Linked DNA regions of Ovis aries. The protein of the gene in region 1 interacts with the protein of each later gene in a pairwise test. Links are inferred from orthologs where the notes say so. Each region holds a gene or a part of one and is shown in the gene's direction. Other genes may lie near its edges. The genes, in order: SRF and ELK4.

What was found.
Region 2: the proteins of SRF (region 1) and ELK4 interact in a two-hybrid assay, tested with the Homo sapiens proteins (2 studies listed by BioGRID and IntAct). The link is inferred for Ovis aries from reciprocal best matches to the Homo sapiens genes SRF and ELK4.

What each region holds. Positions count from the first base shown.
Region 1 is NC_056073.1:16,773,086-16,781,436, forward strand, and holds the end of SRF (serum response factor), read left to right. Parts: intron 1-374; coding exon 375-636; intron 637-1,201; coding exon 1,202-1,321; intron 1,322-2,358; coding exon 2,359-2,550; intron 2,551-2,890; coding exon 2,891-2,967; intron 2,968-3,192; coding exon 3,193-3,288; 3' UTR 3,289-5,609; downstream 5,610-8,351. Other genes in the region: CUL9 (cullin-9), read left to right, coding at 8,039-8,351. UniProt on the Homo sapiens protein: SRF is a transcription factor that binds to the serum response element (SRE), a short sequence of dyad symmetry located 300 bp to the 5' of the site of transcription initiation of some genes (such as FOS).
Region 2 is NC_056065.1:3,245,409-3,254,463, reverse strand, and holds the start of ELK4 (ETS domain-containing protein Elk-4), read left to right. Parts: upstream 1-3,147; 5' UTR 3,148-3,317; intron 3,318-3,608; exon of another isoform or gene 3,609-5,168; intron 5,169-8,905; 5' UTR 8,906-8,973; intron 8,974-9,055. UniProt on the Homo sapiens protein: Involved in both transcriptional activation and repression. Interaction with SIRT7 leads to recruitment and stabilization of SIRT7 at promoters, followed by deacetylation of histone H3 at 'Lys-18' (H3K18Ac) and subsequent transcription repression.

The sequences.
Region 1 (8,351 bases):
GCCTTAGCAACGCCTCCGCCAATCAGAGGCTTCGAGCTCCACTGCTTAGCCAACGTCCGGCGCTGACCCACCTCCAGGATCTGAGCCCCACTCAGTTCTCTGGGCTTGGTTCTCAGCTCGTGGCTTTCTCCTTCTTCTTCTAAGAACAAAGGTTTCCTGAGGGGAGAGTCCGCGTTCTAAACTCCTCAATATTTTAGTGGTAGGGTTAGTTTATTCCCAGGACATTTTGTTGAATGTATGAAGTCTTTGGTGCTTCATTGCCAGACCCCTCAAGATCGCTCTCAAACCCTAAGTTCCCTGAAAAACTGAGAAATCTATCTCAGAAGCAGGATCTGGGGGAGGCTCACCACTCCATCTTTACTCTGGGTGTGTAGGATACACTGAAGCCGGCGTTTACCGTCACCAACCTGCCGGGTACCACCTCCACCATCCAGACAGCACCCAGCACCTCTACCACCATGCAAGTCAGCAGTGGCCCCTCCTTTCCCATCACCAACTACCTGGCACCAGTGTCTGCTAGCGTCAGCCCCAGTGCTGTCAGCAGTGCCAACGGGACTGTGCTGAAGAGTACAGGCAGCGGCCCCGTTTCTTCTGGAGGCCTCATGCAGCTGCCTACCAGCTTCACCCTTATGCCCGGTGAGTCGCAAGAGGCAAACTGAGCATTCTAAGAGTGGGTTTAGGGCTGGTGCAAGGAGAATGTCTTTTCTTACTCAGAAGGAGGAAGGACAGGGGCCAGAGCCTGAGAGAAGCCTCTTATGTCCCATTGGTAGGCATGCCCCTCCCCCTTGGGACTTGAACTGTCCTTGTCAGTAAATTTCCACCATATACTCTGGCCTTGCCTAGCAAGCCCAGCCCTGTGCCCCTACTGCCACAGGGACAGGAGACATTCTACCACTTCCCTGCCTTGACTGGAAGGCAGATTGTGTCCTTGATGGATGGGTGCCTGCTCCTGTGTCAACCAGAGAGTGTAGAGGCAGGGTCTGGGGCAGGGGAAAGAGGGAAGGGCAAGAACAGAGTATGGAAGCCCCTGGAGATAAGATTCTGGACCTCAGGGGCCTCTTTGGCTCTCAGGAAGGATAGTGATGGGAGTTGGGGATAGAATGGCAGCCCCTGGGCCTGGGGGTGTTTGAGGGAGCTTGGTGAAGGTGGTGGTGGTGGTGGTGGGTAGGACAGAGCACGAGTAAGTCTCTGTGTCTTCTAGGTGGGGCAGTGGCCCAGCAGGTCCCAGTGCAGGCCATTCAGGTGCACCAGGCCCCACAGCAAGCGTCTCCCTCTCGCGACAGCAGCACAGACCTCACGCAGACCTCCTCCAGCGGGACAGGTATTGCTTGAAACTCTGTCACCTCCCTGCCCTGCCTCATTCATGAGACCTAGCAGCAGGTGCCCAGGATTATCCATCCTGTAACTAAGGTCAGCAAATTTCTTAATGTGGAGACTGAGGCTTTTGGGTTAACCCTTTCCCTAATCCTTATGAGAAAGGCAGGTGAGGATGGCTAGTTTTGAATCCTGCCCTGCAGTGGGGCTGTGGATTTCAGGAAGAAATTGGGGACCATTGAGGCCACTCTTCTTCTCACTCAGGTGAAAAGCCTGAGGCCCTGAAAGAAGTTCCTTTCCTATAGACACACATTTGCTCAACTGCCAGGAAGGATTTACAGAGCAGTTGTCTCCTTGTGGGAGGATATCCTAGCTTTTGAGTAATCATAAGTCCCTTCCATGTCTCTAGTCATTTTAGAAATGATCAGACACTTCCAAAATAAAATTGCTTTGAAGTTCTTGTTAATCACAACCCTGTTACACAAAGTTTGGTCTGTGGAAGGAGGACCAGCATCACCTGGGAGCTTGATAGAAATGCAGACTCTCAAGCCTCACCCCAAACCTACTGAATCAGAATCTGCACTTTTAACAAGATCCCCCGGTGATTGTACGCACATCAACATTGGAGAAGTGCTTGTTTTAAAGCTGGTTATCAGCTGCATGTTGAGGAAGAGGGAGGAGGAGTAAGAATAGATGTGAAATGGGGTGGAGCCTCTCTCTCAGAGAAGAGGATCTGAGTTTCCTTGGCTTGGGTCAGTCATTGTAATCTTTGTTTTTCCCAGGGCCTTGGGGTCTTGGAACAAAGCAGATAGATAATCGAATAGAACGCTGTGATAGGATACATTGAAAGGTTGGTGTGGTTGTGTTCAAGAAAAAAATAAGGCTTTTCTCAGTCGATGACAGGGAACAGAGAAGGAGCTTTGTCTAGGTTTCGACCTGGGAAATGGCAGGAGGGCTCTGGAGGCCTGGAGTTCCTGGGGATGGGATGGGAGCTCTCAGTCAGCACCAGTGCCAACCTCCCTGACGTGTGTCTGTGTTTGCCAGTGACGTTGCCTGCCACCATCATGACGTCATCTGTGCCCACAACTGTGGGCGGCCACATGATGTACCCCAGCCCCCATGCGGTGATGTATGCGCCCACCTCGGGCCTGGCTGATGGCAGCCTCACTGTGCTCAATGCCTTCTCCCAGGCGCCATCCACCATGCAGGTGTCCCACAGCCAGGTCCAGGAGCAAGGTGAGTCAGGGGCAGGGCTGCAGAAAGGAGGACCATTTCCTCCCTCACACACACAGACACGCACACACACACTCACATGCCTCCCCTCAACTCATATGCACACACACATACCCAAACCAGATGCTCACACACATACCTATATGTATACACACACAGATGCTTCCACATGCACTCGAACACCCACACTCACATGCACACTTGACACATTTGGGCACTCACCCTTGGGCATTTACATCTGAGACTCACCCAGTCAACTTGTGCACTTATCATCACACCTCCAAAATCTGGAAGTTTCTCTTGAGCAAGTGATTTGAGTCTCTCCTGTGGTTATCTCATGCAGGTGGCGTCCCCCAGGTGTTCCTCACAGCACCATCTGGGACAGTGCAGATCCCCGTTTCTGCAGTTCAGCTTCACCAGGTAGGTGAGGGCACCTTCCATTCCAGCCAGCCAGCCTCTTCTTTATCTTGACTTGGGGGATTTCATTACTAGGTGGTCCAAGCCAAGATCCTTAGCCGGGAGGCCTGTCCGTTTTCCTGGTCAGGCCTGGGTGGTGGGCAGGTGGGCAGGCAGGCAGGGGGCAGCCTGAGCTGGCCAGTCAGTTCCAGACCCCCACCTCCTCCTTACATACCCCCTTCCCTTCAGATGGCTGTGATAGGGCAGCAGGCCGGGAGCAGCAGCAACCTCACCGAATTACAGGTGGTGAACCTGGATGCCGCCCACAGCACCAAGAGTGACTGATCCGCCCTGCCGCCCTGGACAGATGGCCCAAGGGACGGCACCACTTATTTATTGTTGCCTTTTCACGTTTTCTTTACACACATGTTGATGGGCCGCAGGAGGGAGGCGGGGAGGAGCGTGGGCAGCCACAGGACTGAGCCCTCTCACTCCAGCCAAAGAAATGGGCCAGCCTGCCCTCCACCCCGGCCTCCCGACCCCCCCCCCCAGCTCCGCCTCCCATTTCTGTTGCCGGTGGGGCTGCCCTCCCTCCTCAGACTCCCCTTGCCAGCTTGGCTCCATGTTTTCCATGAGTATTAGCTTACCCGATGGGACCGTGCCCCCCACCACCATCACACACACAGTTCTCTGTGGGACTAGGCACTGTGTCCCCCTGAGGAAGCAGCCGGTGCCGGTGCCGGGGGTGGGGGGGGGGTTGCCCTCTCTCCAGTCTCCTTGCTGACCCCACATCAGCACTGTGTTTGCCACAGGCTGGGTCAAAAGAGCCTGCCCCCTGCCCCTCAGGGAGCCAGCTGGGGAGATGGGGCTTCTTCCCTCAAGCCGGGTCTGTGGCCCCTACAGCTCCTGAGCAGCGGGGCCTGTGCTCCAGCACAGCAGATTCCCAGGGCGACCTGCCCTGCCCTGCCGCTCCCTTCGGAACTCCAGGGGCTGCTGGCTTGGAGGGAACCACCCGTGTTCCCCTGTCTTCCCCCCTCTCCTCCCAGCTGCTTTACTTAAAGTTGATTTTGAACTTTTTATTTGAGGAGACGAAGTGAAAACAAATCTATAAATATATATTTTTAAAATATTTAACTTTTTTTTATGGCGTTTTTCTCGTCCCCCTCCCTGCCCAAGCTCCCCTTCCCTGGGGAGCCCTGAGGCTCCCCGGAACTGGCTGGGCCTCTGGGGACAGAGCCACCCCATGAGCTTGGGGCTCGCCAGTGTGGGGGGGGAGATTGCCCGGTCCTGGGTTGTTTCCAGGAGAAAACCGGGGGAGGGGCCCTCAGGCCATGCCCCAACGGGGTGGGGAGGGTGACCCACAGCTCTGGGCCTCTTTTTGCCCTTCAGAGCTGTTGCTAGGGAGAGGGAAGAGGGAGACCAAATGTGGGTGGGGGGTGGGAGGGTGTCAGAGGCAACTGACTTCATTTGTGCCACATGCATGGGCATTGCAGCCTTGCGCGCCCCCAGGCCTGCAGCTGCCTGGGGCCCAAGTTGCAGTGAGCAGGGTGGGGTCTGGGAGGGGGCGAGAGGCAGGATTGGGGGGCAGAAGAAATGGGAGCAGCTCTTGGGCTGAGTGTGGGGTTAGGGGAGCCAGAAATGGCAGCTCTCCCAGGGAGTGAGCAGCTACTGTAACTTTTTAAAATTAAGACAAAAAGCCTTGAAGAAAATGACTTTATTTTTCTAAGTGTAACCTCAGTATTTATGTAATTTGTACAGGGGCCGTGCCCCACCCCCTCTGCCCCCTTTGGGGTAGATCTTGAGGGTGGGCCAACATGGCAGAGGGTCTTTTACCCTGTGTCAGAGCCTACCTTCACCACCTGTATCAGAGAGGGAGCTTTTTCAGAACAGGGCAGTGGGGGGGTGGGTGGAGTTTTATTAACCCCTTAGGTCTGCCTTGAGTAGAAACAAGCCTGCTTCTGTGATTAGGTGAAGGGGTGGGGGAAGTTTATACATACAGCCTAATTATCATGGGGACGATTTGCCGACATGTTTGAGAACCTCCGGACCTCTAACCCCCTTTGCTGTCTTGCCCCAGTTTGGGGTGCCAAGATGGAAGCCATCTTTCTGGCTTTCTCCAGAAGATAGCAGGGGACTTATGGGTGGCTTATGGATTGGGGCATGGCAAATCAGGGGTCAGAGAGTGGGGGAGCTTGGGACTCAGGTCTGCAACTGCCCAGCCCCTTTTCTCTACTCTTTGTTTTCACTCCACCATCACTCACTCACTCCCCTCTCCCTCACGCTGGGGAGGAGACCTTGATGAATTCCTCCTCTCCTTCCCACAAAAGACAGACCCAGTGAGTGAATCAGGCAAAGTGCTTATAATGTGTGTTGTGTGAGCGTGGCCTTGGGAGAACATGCGTGCGTCAAGGATGAGGTGGCATTTTTACATGCAGCGACCCTTGGTGTTTCCCTTCCTTGGTGGCTCTGGGGTGTGTATGTGTGTGTGCGCGTGTGCCCGAGTGAATGTGTGTGTGCGAATGTGGGGTGTGTATGTTAGTGGTTTCTACTTCCCCTGGGATGCTGACCCAGGAATAGTGGACATGGTCACAGTCCTATGTACAGAGCTTTCTTTTGTATTAAGAAAAAAATACTCTTTCAATAAATGTATCATTTTTGTGCACAGACTGTGGGGTCTTTGCCTTTGTTTTACCGTATTGGAGGGTGGGAGGTATGAACACAAACGTGCTGAGAAACAAGCACGTTCTTGTTGAATGAAACGCAAAGGGGTGCTTTGGGCTGTTGAACTCTACTGATTTGACTTAAGGAACACATCAGGGGTGATGGTTAGGGGCCTTTATCGTCAGCCCCAGCTGTGCTAGGTACTTAGTCAACACGGAGAGAAGCAATTTTACTATTAGGGAAAAGAACGCAACCAATCCAAAGCCTCGGGTATGGGAAACTCACGGCCACGTGACCTAAAGCAAACTAAGAGGACAGCCCTAGGATGGGAGTGTGCGTTTCGGTGGGAGACGAAGAAGGCAGACCCAGCAAAGGGCAAGGAGGGCTTCAAAGCCGATATTGGAACGGAAAGGGCGGCCTACGCCTGCGGAAAAACGGGCCTCGCTACCACGACCCCGAAGCTCCGCGGGCAGCGCGCCCCCAGACGCGAGTAGCACGCATGCTCCGCTGGCGCACGGTGCCGCCGCCGCGCTCGGCTGTGGGCCGCGGTGGGACCCGTAGCCGCCCGGCCGTGCGCGCACTGGCGGCGTGACCCGGAAGGGAGCCGCGGAGGAGGCGGGGCCAGCACTGCGGGACCGGCGCCGGGCCCCAGCGAGGGCCGAGCCGGGAGCCGGGAGGTGGGAGGTGAGAGGAGAGCTCTGCGTCCTCCCCGCCCCTGCCCCGTCCCTTCCCCGGTTCCTTGCCCACTCTCCGTGGCGCTGACGACAGGAGCCAGGTCTTGCCGAGATTCGCTTGGTCCAGTCGGTCCGGTCAGCCTCCTCCGACCGCGCCCCCCCCACCTCTTCCGCCCCCCAAGCCTGTTCTCGCGGCGGTGCGGGCCTCCCGCGCCGCCCTTGCTGGCTTGCAAGCTCGGGCCTGACTTGCCACCTACGCCTACCTGCTGTCTCATCCCCGCAACCAAGACCTCGCCTCCGCATCTCAGTTCATTGCTCCTGTTCTCCAGCCCTTCCTCTCCCCCCATTTAGGCTTTTCCGATTGTGTTACTTCATCCCGCTCATCAGTTGTCCATCGCACATCACTTGGTTACCTGCCTGTCTTGCCCTCCCTCCAATCCCCCGCATGCTATCCGGACCCCTACCCCCTTCGAGAGCCACATCCGTCTTTCCCCTCCTCTGCACGCCTTTCTTCTACTCTCATCCTCTATCCCTGTACCCCAACATGACCCCTGCTCTGATCACCATTTCTTCGTTTGGGTTTGCTGTCCGTTCTTATCCTCACCATTCCCTGTTTCCCCCCCACTGCTTCATATCTTTCCCTGATCACTAACATAGCCGTCACTCCGCACCTACTTATAATCTTATTCTGACACCTACTTATAATCTTATTCTGACACATTAGCGTTCTACTTACCTGGGGACGGCTCCTACCTTCTCCCTCGCTAAGAATAGTAGTATTAGATTCTGTTTACTGAGCACTCTGGCTGTATGATAGAGGCTGTTCTGAATGCTTTATATATGTGATCTTAGTAAGTGTTTATGACAATTTTGTAAATTGGGTTTAAATATTATTATCTTGCAGAGGAGAAAACTGAGGCTTAGAGATTGACTTGTCCAAAAGTATGCATATAAGAAGTGAAGGAGCCAGAATTCAGAGTCCCATTTATCTGAATCTGTACTGTATTGCCTCTCTTAATACCTCTACTGTCTCCTGACCTCATTCCCTACCCTTCAACTCCATGATTATTACCTCCATCTAGATCTACTTAACTTAGATCCTTACCATACATACAGCATAAGGGCAGGGTGGGACTTGGTTTTTTTCCTCCCATAATTTTATTTGGATCCCTAGTCCCCTCTCCCTTTCCCAGTGTTCTCATACCTTTTTGTCATCCGGTCATCTGCCTCCTTTAGTCTCTCTTCTTAATATCTGCCATGACCCACCCCTTTATACCCACATTCCCGCTTTAATCTGTCATTTATGCTCCCTGTCTTGCCCCTTCCCCATCCTGACTTTCCTGACTTGTTCTGACCCCACTATCTCACAGGCTACTGTCCTACCTGCTCACCCATGTCATCCTTCTAAGTCCTGATCTGTACCCCTCAGCCACCCTCCTGTTCTGCCCAAATTGTCCTGATTAACCATCAGCTCTTTTTCTTATCTTGCTTTCTTCCTTGTAATTTCTTCCATTTCGGAAACCTTTTCATTTCCTTCTATCACTGTTTTTCACTCTGTTCTCCTTGTTACAAATCCCAAAGTGTGTTTAGGTTATTTATTCCATCCTATCCTTGGCCTTTTCTCTTTGGCCTCCAAATTCCATGCAGCCTACCAGTCACCCCTCACCCTGTATGCACCTCAAGTTTCCACCCCCTTCACGTAGGTTTTTCTCTTTCCCACAGTGCCTCTGTCTCTCTCCTGTGTGTCCCAGGAAGTCAGGATGGTGGGAGAACGGCGCACTGGGGACCTCATGGTGCCCTTGGGGCCCCGGCTGCAGGCATATCCCGAAGAGCTTCTTCGACAGCGGCCTGGACAGGATGGGCATCCTGAATACCTGATCCGATGGAGTGTCCTGAAGTGTGGGGAAGTGGGCAGAGTGGGTGTGGAGGAGGGCAAGACAGAGCACATCCTCATGTGGCTGTCAGCCCCCGAGGTCTATGCCAGCTGCCCCATGCTGTTAGGGGAGCGGGCGTTATCTAAGGGATCTCAGCACGAGACAGCTGGGGGTTCAGCAAGCTTTCCGCGAGACCCAG
Region 2 (9,055 bases), on another chromosome or scaffold:
AGTCAATTTAAAAGCAGACAGACTTGCTATGACTAATTTAAGAACTCCCAAAGTAGGCTCTTTTCCAAAAATACACAGCAATTGACAACACTGGCAGCTCAGTCTACAGGGTTATGATACAACTAAGACCCTGAGGCTGAATGTGAAGTTTCCTGCTAGTTTGGGCACAGCAGGGTAATCTGCCAAGGAGCTTCTACAGCCCTTAACTATTCTTGGTATGGGGCTTCAAAATGAAACCTTCCCATAACCTAATGTTTCCAATGGGTGTACCTTAAATAGTCTACTTTAAGAATTCTTCTTTTTCCCTCTTGGTTTCTAAAATGGAAGTTGTTGTAAGGAAAAATCTTGTAGGGCCCAGGAGCCCTAGTTCTTTTCAGGTGTTGGATGCTCCTTTTAAAACACATTTCTTAGTGGCCTCCTTAGCACAGTAGGCAGTATGTCAGTCTCACAAAACATATATTTCTTTTAATTTTTTATTGAAGTTTACTTGGATTATGGTATGGTGTTAATTACTGCTGTGCAGCAAAGTGACTCAGTACACATATATTTACATTCTTTTTCATAGTCCCAAACTCCCACCCCTTGGCAACCACCATTCTATGCTCTAAGTCCCTGATTTTGTTTCTGTTTCATAGATAGGTTCATTTGTAGAATACATTTCTTTACCAACTGCACTATCAGGGAAGCCCTGCAGAACACATTTCTTTATGAAAATATGTGGTAAAATTATTTTTTAAAGCCTAACATCTTTAGGTGTTGTTGCTTTTCCATGAATAGCTTTGTGCATTATAATCACTCTGTATTATGGTGGAGGAGGTTGGAAATCAAAGTAAGTGATGATTCTCTTCCAAAAGGCTTCAAAGGGATAGTAAGATCATATTTCTTCCTTCCTTCCTTTTAAATCCATAATTTTTCTAGGAACTTTTTCAACTAAGTTTTCATATATATCTTCATAAAATTATTCATAGTATTTTCTGATAGCTTTTTAAAATTAATTTTTATTGGAGGATACTTGATATACAATGTTGTTAGTTTGTACTGTACAGCGAAGTAGATCAGTTATACACACATCCACTCTTTTTTAGGGTTTCTCTCATAGCTCAGTTGGTAAAGAATCCGCCCACATTGCAGGAGACCCTGGTTTGATCCCATGGGTTGGGAAGATCCCTTGGAGAAGGGAAAGGCTACCCACTCCAGTATTCTGGACTGTATAAGTCCATGGGGTCACAAAAAGTCAGACACGAGTCAGCGACTTTCACTTCACTGTTTTTTAACCTTCTCCCATGTAGGTCATTCCTGGAGAAGGCGATGGCACCCCACTCCAGTACTCTTGCCTGGAAAATCCCGTGGACAGAGGAGCCTGGTAGGCTGCAGTTCATGGGTCGCTAAGACACGACTGAGCGACTTCACTTTCACTTTTCACTTTCATGCATTGGAGAAGGAAATGGCAACCCACTCCAGTGTTCTTGCCTGGAGAATCCCAGGGACAGGGGAGCCTGGTGGGCTGCCTGTCTAGGGGGTCGCACAGAGTCAGACACGACTGAAGCGACTTAGCAGCAGCAGCAGCAGCAGCAGCATGTAGGTCATTCCAGAGTATTAAATAGAGTTCCCTGAGAGGATCACATTTCACTGAGCTCAACTAATTTTACCATGAGGAATTCCCTGGCAGTCCAGTAGTTAGGACTCCTGCTTTCACTGCTGTGGCCAGTGTTCAATCCCTGGTTGGGGAGCTAAGATCCTGCAAGCTTCTCTGTGCCGCAGCAGAGAAATCAACTGTGGAGCTGAGGAGGCAAACATAAATGACATCAGGACTTCCCTGCTGGTCCAGGTGCTGAAATTCTGTACTTTCAATGCAGGGGGCCAGGATGCATCCTGGTCAGGGAACTAGATCCCACAGGCTGCAACTAAAGATTCTGTGTGCTAAGACCTGGCACAGCCCAATAAATGCATTTTTTACAAATGGCACCATCATTTATTCATACTTTATCTTCTCAGCAGTGCTGTACATGATCTTCACCTTATATGAGGGGACTGAAGTTCAGAGAGGTGAAGGGACTCAAAGCTAGTAGCTGGACACTGGACTGGCTTGTTGTTGCTTTCCTGTTAAGTGGGATACACAGTATATTTCTTGGAGGTTTTTGTTCAGCAGTCTCTCTACACCTTCCGCCTCTATACTGTTCAAGTAGTTGTACCAAGTGTGACCTGGTTCCTTAAGAACTGTGTTTAATGAGCAGAGTCGGACACGACTGAGCGACTGAACTGAACTGATGGGCTAGACACTCCGCGAGGTGATTATACTTGGGTTCTCTCCATTTTCCATATGATGAAATTGTTTGGGGAGGTAAAGAAAGTTCTTAAAGATTGGCGAGCTCGTGAGAGGCAGAGCCACGGCCGGATTCCAGGTCTCCGACTCCAACGCCAGAACGAGCTTTCCCCACTCGACCAGCGCTCCCCTTTGTCAGCCCCGGGGCGAGAGAGCCACAGGGCTGACTGAACGTCTATCCGCTGTTCACAGCGCCCTGGGGCCTGGCACTTCCACGAGCCAGCTGCGGCGGTTCCGACCTCTCCGTCCACCCTGCCAACAAGGCAGGACGGGCGGCCTGGAGGGAGAAAGCCCTCACACTCAAGCTTCGCGACGACACGCGCGGCCCCCTGGAAGCCACTCGGTGAGCGCCACCCCTTCCCCAGGGCGGGGCAGACACCGAGGCCTCCGAAGTCCTGACCCAAGCGGCAGCCCTGGCGTGCGGGCTCGGACCGCGCGCCTCAGGGAGCAGAAGCCGCTAGCGGTCCGGCGGAGAGAGCAACGCGGGGAAGCCCAGGGGGCGGCTTCCCTCACGCCCGCGCCCCTCATCCGGCACCCCGCGGACGCAGTCGGCGGCCGCCGGTAGCGCCCCTCAGCGGCCGGCCGCGCCCTTCCCGCCCCCGGAAGTGACGCGCAGCGGCTCGGGCGGCCGGGAGGGGCCCCCGACGCAGCCGGGGGGGCTCGAGAGAGGCGGCGGCCGCGGAGCGAGTGGCAGGCTCAGCCGCGGCGAGGAACGCCCAGATCGCGCGTGCCCGGCGGGTAGCGGCCCTGACGACCCGCGCCGCCGCCGCGTGCGGGGGCGGGGAGGGCGGGGCGCGACGAGCCGCGGCGGCGGCGGCGGCGGGAGATGCGGGCGGCTGCGGGCACCCGGCGGGCTCGGCTCGGCCGCCGGCGCCTTCTCCGGCTCCGCCGCGAGGGTCGCAGCGGCTGCCGCGCCGTCCTCGAGTTCCCGGCGTGAGGAGAAGAGCGTCTTGTTGGAGGCGGAGACCCGGAGGGAGCCCCGCGCGCGGCCTCGGTGAGCGTCCGCGTCCGCGTCCCGCGGCCGCCGCCCCCGCCGGCGGGGCGCCGGGGCGGGGGGCTGGCCGCCCCTCGGGAAGCGGGCGCGGGGCGCGCGCCCGGGGGCCCCGCTGGCGGGCCGGTGGGCGCGGGACAGACCCGCCTCGCTCCCTTCGCCCCTTATTTGGTCCCGCGAGGCCCCTGGGGCCAAAGGTGGCTGTTTTTTTTTTATTCTTTTCTCTTTTCGCCGGGGTGGCGGAGGGGAGGGCCCGAGGGGAGCGTCTCTGGCTTTCTGTAGTGACAGGAAGTTGGAAAGTGAAAGCGCAGCGAGTCGGTGCTCTCCCGGGCCCGGACTTTGATCTCCCCGGGGTACGCGGTCTTCCGCGTTTCTTCCTCTCCCCACGCTCAGAACCCATCCGGCGTCGACTTTCAGTGTGTTTTCTACTTCTTTCCAGCCAACCCTCTCCCCTCGTTACTTTCCGGTTAGTACACAGCTGCCGCGAGGCTTCCTTCTTGGGAAAACCAGTTGGAAACATCTTTTGGGGGCCGAAGGTTAACTGACCTGGGCAGGGACCTTGTTGACCGAGATAGTTAAGAGATACACAGTTGGCTCCCACTCCCACCCCCCCAACCAGGCTATTGGTATTTGAAGTTTAGGGCATTTAAAGAAAAAGACTTCAGAGTTTCATCCCTCATCAGAACGGTTCACCCATCTCTGTGGTTGGTGAATAAGATCCTTCTTCCTTTTCTTTTGCCATCTTCCACTCACCGTCCCACTGCGTGGAAAACTTGGTGCTTCAGTATTTAAGACTGTCAGTGGTATTTTCTTTAAAACCTATTGTGATTCAGTTTTCCTCCTCAGTAACCCTCTTTGATTTTATTTAAACGTTAAAAACTGCCCAAGGGGAATCCATTTAGGGAAATGTTGTTTTAAAGTTTTATTATAATAGTACACTTTTAGTGTTCTGTTGGTATGGAATACTGTATAGTTAGATACGCCAGGTTACTTTTTGACAGCTGTAAAGATTTTAACTTAAAATTCGCCTTAATACATTTTATAATTTGTTTCTATTTTACTTAAGCAGCACTCTGAATATGGAGACATTTATTTTTTGGGTCTTAGCTACTGTTTCTGAAAAATAGTTGGGCCATGGGTCACCACAGCAACTGGGCTGTGTGTATGATAAACATGTTTAGGGTGGAAAAGGTTTCATTTAGTAGAGACTTCCTTTCCCTAATGAGTTACTTCCAATATGCGCCTTCTTTCCTTTTAGCACAGGAATTAATCTACTGTCTTTTAAGTGTGAGTGTGTTAGTGTTAGCCGCTCAGTCCTGTCAGACTCTTTGTGACCCCATGGACTGTGGCCCACCAAGCTCCTCTGCCCATGAAATTCTCCAGGCAAGAACACTGGAGTGGGTTGCCATTTCCTTCTCCACTTTAAGTGTTAGAATCAATTATGTTTTCCATATTTAACCCCTCAAAAATCAGATTCCTTCATTTGGATCAGTTAAGTATTTCTCTCCCTCATTATACTACTTCTAAAAAACTCTTTAAAACTGAAATTTTGGGGGAAAACTGTAGTTGTGGAAACACTGAGGTTTTCATGAAAGGGTTTTCAAGAAAAAGGATTTGGGTTTCTTTTGATAAGAGTAAGAATAAAAGTGTTAAATTATTTGTGTCTCTTTATTTCACCTTTGTAATTTTAAGTAATTTCTGACTTTTTTTTACTTTAATTCTCTTTTACGGCTGAAGAAATCATTGAATTTCATATCAATGGCACACTTTCAGGAACTCAAATGAAGAGGTTCAGCTTATGTGCCCAGTGGTTCACCGCCTTTTCAATCAAAGAAACATATCAACGTTGAATGAGTAAAATATTCCTTTAAAGTACCTGCTGAGGATGTCCATTTTACGTCTTCCTTAGTTTTTCCTAATAGAAAAAAATTTTTTCCAGTACTTCAGTCCAAAACCGCAGTGCCCATTTTTTTCTTCACAATAATTTTCTATCCTAGACACACTGTAAAGCACTACAGAAGCTTCAGCGTTTGCCACACAGTTAGGTTCTGCCATGCAGTATCCAACAGCTCCACCAGGATTTGGCTCAGTCCACAGTTGAGTTCAGCTCAGTCGTGTCTGACTCTTTGCAACCCCATGGACTGCAGCATGCCCGGCTTCCCTGTCCATCACCAACTCCCGGAACTTACTCAAGCTCAATCCACACTTTCCCCTAATAACCGAAGGGAGAGGTGGAAATTAAACCCACACCACCTTGGGAACACTTCCCATTTGCTCAGGATGACTCTTGTGTGCTTGTTGCGGAAATACTCATGGTTATATCTGTCGTTTTGTACGTATTGCTTCGCCATTATAAACCTGTAGAGCTCAAGCATTATCTGCAAGATAGGCATAGAACTCTAGGATTTGGTTTGGGGAATTTTTCCAAAAATAAATGAAATTATAGGCACCAGACCTGTTTTCCAGTTCTCTGCTTGTCTGTCGTTTCCCTCCTCCCTTCCTCCTAGCTTCAGCATCGTCACCATCATCGTCTCTCTCACACATACTCACACTGCTGTAAGCATTCTTAACCTGAAGATGGTGTCTGGAAATGTAAAGACTTGAGTTCTTTGGTTAAGCTGAAATTTACTAGGGAATAGTTGTAACAGATTTAGACTAACAAATAATTGTTTAAGTGGGGAACATACATAGTTTAAAAGTAACTTACCATGACAGTCAGCACTAGAAGAAAAGCCTCTCTGGTAAATTAAGAGAAATAACAGGGGACCCATCCCCCTCAACTATACTTGATGGATATAGTATAAAACCACTGTTTTAACCCAGCTTAAGTGAGGCCCTGGAAAGCTGTTTTCTAGTGAACATGGTTATTTAGCATTAAAGTAGTACTTCATATTTGTACGTTATTGTCAGTTATTATCTAACAATGTAATACTTCTTTACAATCCTAGGTAATGTGAATGCTCTTACCCATCTAGGAAAGTGGTTTCCCTCAGGGACAGAGTACATGACTGTGATGAAAGAGACTTGGATTCGTGGCCGCAGTTTCTCTGTAACTCTCTAACTTTGGGAGGCATCTCCCTTTTTCTATTCTTAGGTATTTTCTCATCTCTACTTTTGGATGACAGTATCTCTGTATAACCAGCTTCAAATTTATGACTGAATAATAGGACATTTTGAATGTCTCAGAAAAATTATGAGATATTTACCAATATGGTTCCTCATCTCTGGTCTTTTTGGAAGCAGACATAGTTAAGGATCCCGTTCTTTGTGAGTTGTACATTATTAGAGTTAGGTTTCTCAGGCCTAACTTTTGTGTTGTTTGGGGTGTTTATTTTTAACATTTTTATTGAGATATATTTCACATAGAGTAAAATTCACCTGAAGTGTACAGTTCATTGCTTTTAGTATATTCCCAGAGTTGTATGGCCACTACCGTAACCTAAATTTAGAATGTTTTCATCACCCCATTAACAGTCACTCCCCTTTTCTTTTCCACACCCATCCCCCATTCCCAGCCCTAAGCAACCACCAGTCTGCTTTTTTTGCCTATTCAAATTAATGGCTGGCTTCTCTCACTTAGCCTAATGTTTCCAAGGTTCATCCATTGAACTAGCCCATATCACTACTTCATTCCTTCTTCTGGCTGATATTCCACTCTGTGGTTATATGGAGGCTTTCCTGATAGCTCAGTTGGTAAAGAATTTGCCTGCAATGCAGGAGACCCTGGTTCAATTCCTGGGTCAGAAAGATCTGCTGGAGAAGGGACAGGCTACCCACTGCAGTATTCTTGGGCTTCTCTTGTGGCTCAGCTGGTAAAGAATCTGCCTGCAATGTGGGAGACCTGGGTTCAATCCCTGGGTTGGGAAGATCCCCTGGAGAAGGGAAAGGGTACATTTTGCTTGTCTGCTCATCAGTTGATGGACATCTGGGTAGTTTATACTTTTTTGGATATTATGAATACCACTCTGAACATCCTGCTTATAAATGTCTGTGTGGACATATATTTTTCATTTCTCTGGGATATATACCTAGGAGTGTAATTACTGGGTCATATGCTAACTCTGGGGAACTGCTGCAACCTTTTTCCAAAGTGGCTGTACCAGTTTACATTCCTGTTGGCAGTGTATGAAGGTTTCACTTTTCTCCACGTTTTAGCTGATACTTATCGTCTGTCCTTTCTGTTTGGCTGCGCTGGGTCTTCCCTGCTGTGCTCGAGCTCTCTCTAGCTGTGGTGTCTGGGCTTCTCATTGCGGTGACTTCTCTTGTTGTGGGGCATGGGCTCAGTGTTATGGCGCACAGCATGTGGAGTCTTCGGGGATCGAACCCACGTCCCCTGCATTGGCAGGCAGATTCCTAACCGCCAGGAGGTCCATCACCTGCCTTTTTGATCATAGCCATCCTAGTAGGTGTGAAGCAGTGTCTTGTGTGGTTTTGATCTTTATTCCCCTAATAACTAGTCACATTGAGCATCTTTTTATGTGCTTTATTGGCTACCCATATTACTCTTTGGAGAAATGTCTTTTCAAATCCTTTGCTTATTTTCAATTTTTTTAAATTGTAAGGACTCTATTTTTTTTTTTTTTGATGAAGGAGCCTTATTAGTTGAAAATGCTTTCTTCCATTCCAAGGATTGTCTTCTCATTTGATGGTATTGTTTGCAGCACAGAAGTTTTAATTTTTGCTGTTGTCCAATTTATCTGTTTTTATAGTATTTTAACAGAATTGATTTGATTTAATTTCTGTTCTGATCCAGTGAGATCTAATTCACAGACTGAAAACAGGAAGGCTTTGTGTATGTGTAAAGTTCTCCTATAGACATTTTAGGATGTGCTTATGTATGTTTGGCCAGAGTTTCCACCCTAAGATTTCTTTCTTAGAAACAAGATGTTTTAAAGTTTTTTTGAGGAAAAACCTTTGAGAGAACCTTTCCCTGCTGCTCCATTGCCTAAACCAGTGGTTATTAACTGAGATGATACTGTCCCCCAGAATGTTTGACAATGTGTGTAGACATTTTGATTGCCAAATTGGGCAGGAGGTGTTGGTGGCATCTGGTTGGTAGAGGCCAGGGATGTTAAACTGCAATGCCAGAACAGCCTCCAAGAACAAAAGAATTATCTGGCTCAAAATATCAATAGTGCTGAATTTAAGAAACACTGGCCTAAACAGGAAGATCTTAAAACTTGAGATATTGAAAGGTTTTTCAGTTCCAATCTTGATAATCAAATAAAGGTTGCTAATCAAATAAAAGGATCTGGGCAGGTGGACTTCCTGCGGACAGAATGGTGGCAGAACTTGTAAATTAGGGAACATTTTGCTGAGTTTTCAGTGCTGTCAACTTACATGAAAATTACATTTATTATAATGGAAACTATTCCTCCTATCTCTGGGCCACCCTGAGACCCACAGAACATCCTGGCATATAAATCAACTGTGCCAGTATAGGTAGATGCTGAAATGGTGGTCACCTCAGAGAATATGACAATGAGTTGTTTTTTTAAAAATATTTATTTATTTATTTAGCTGCACCAGGTTTTAGTTGTGACATGCAGATTCTTAGTTGGGGCATGTGTGACTTAGTTCTCTGACCACAGATCCAGCCCAGCCCCCCTGCATTGGGAGTACGGAGTCTTAGCCCGAGGACCCCCAGGAAGTCCCGACAGTGAGTTTTTAAGATAAAATTTAGTAATAGTGATACTGCACTGGTTGGCATTCATCAGTCTGCTCCTGTAATTTATGAAACT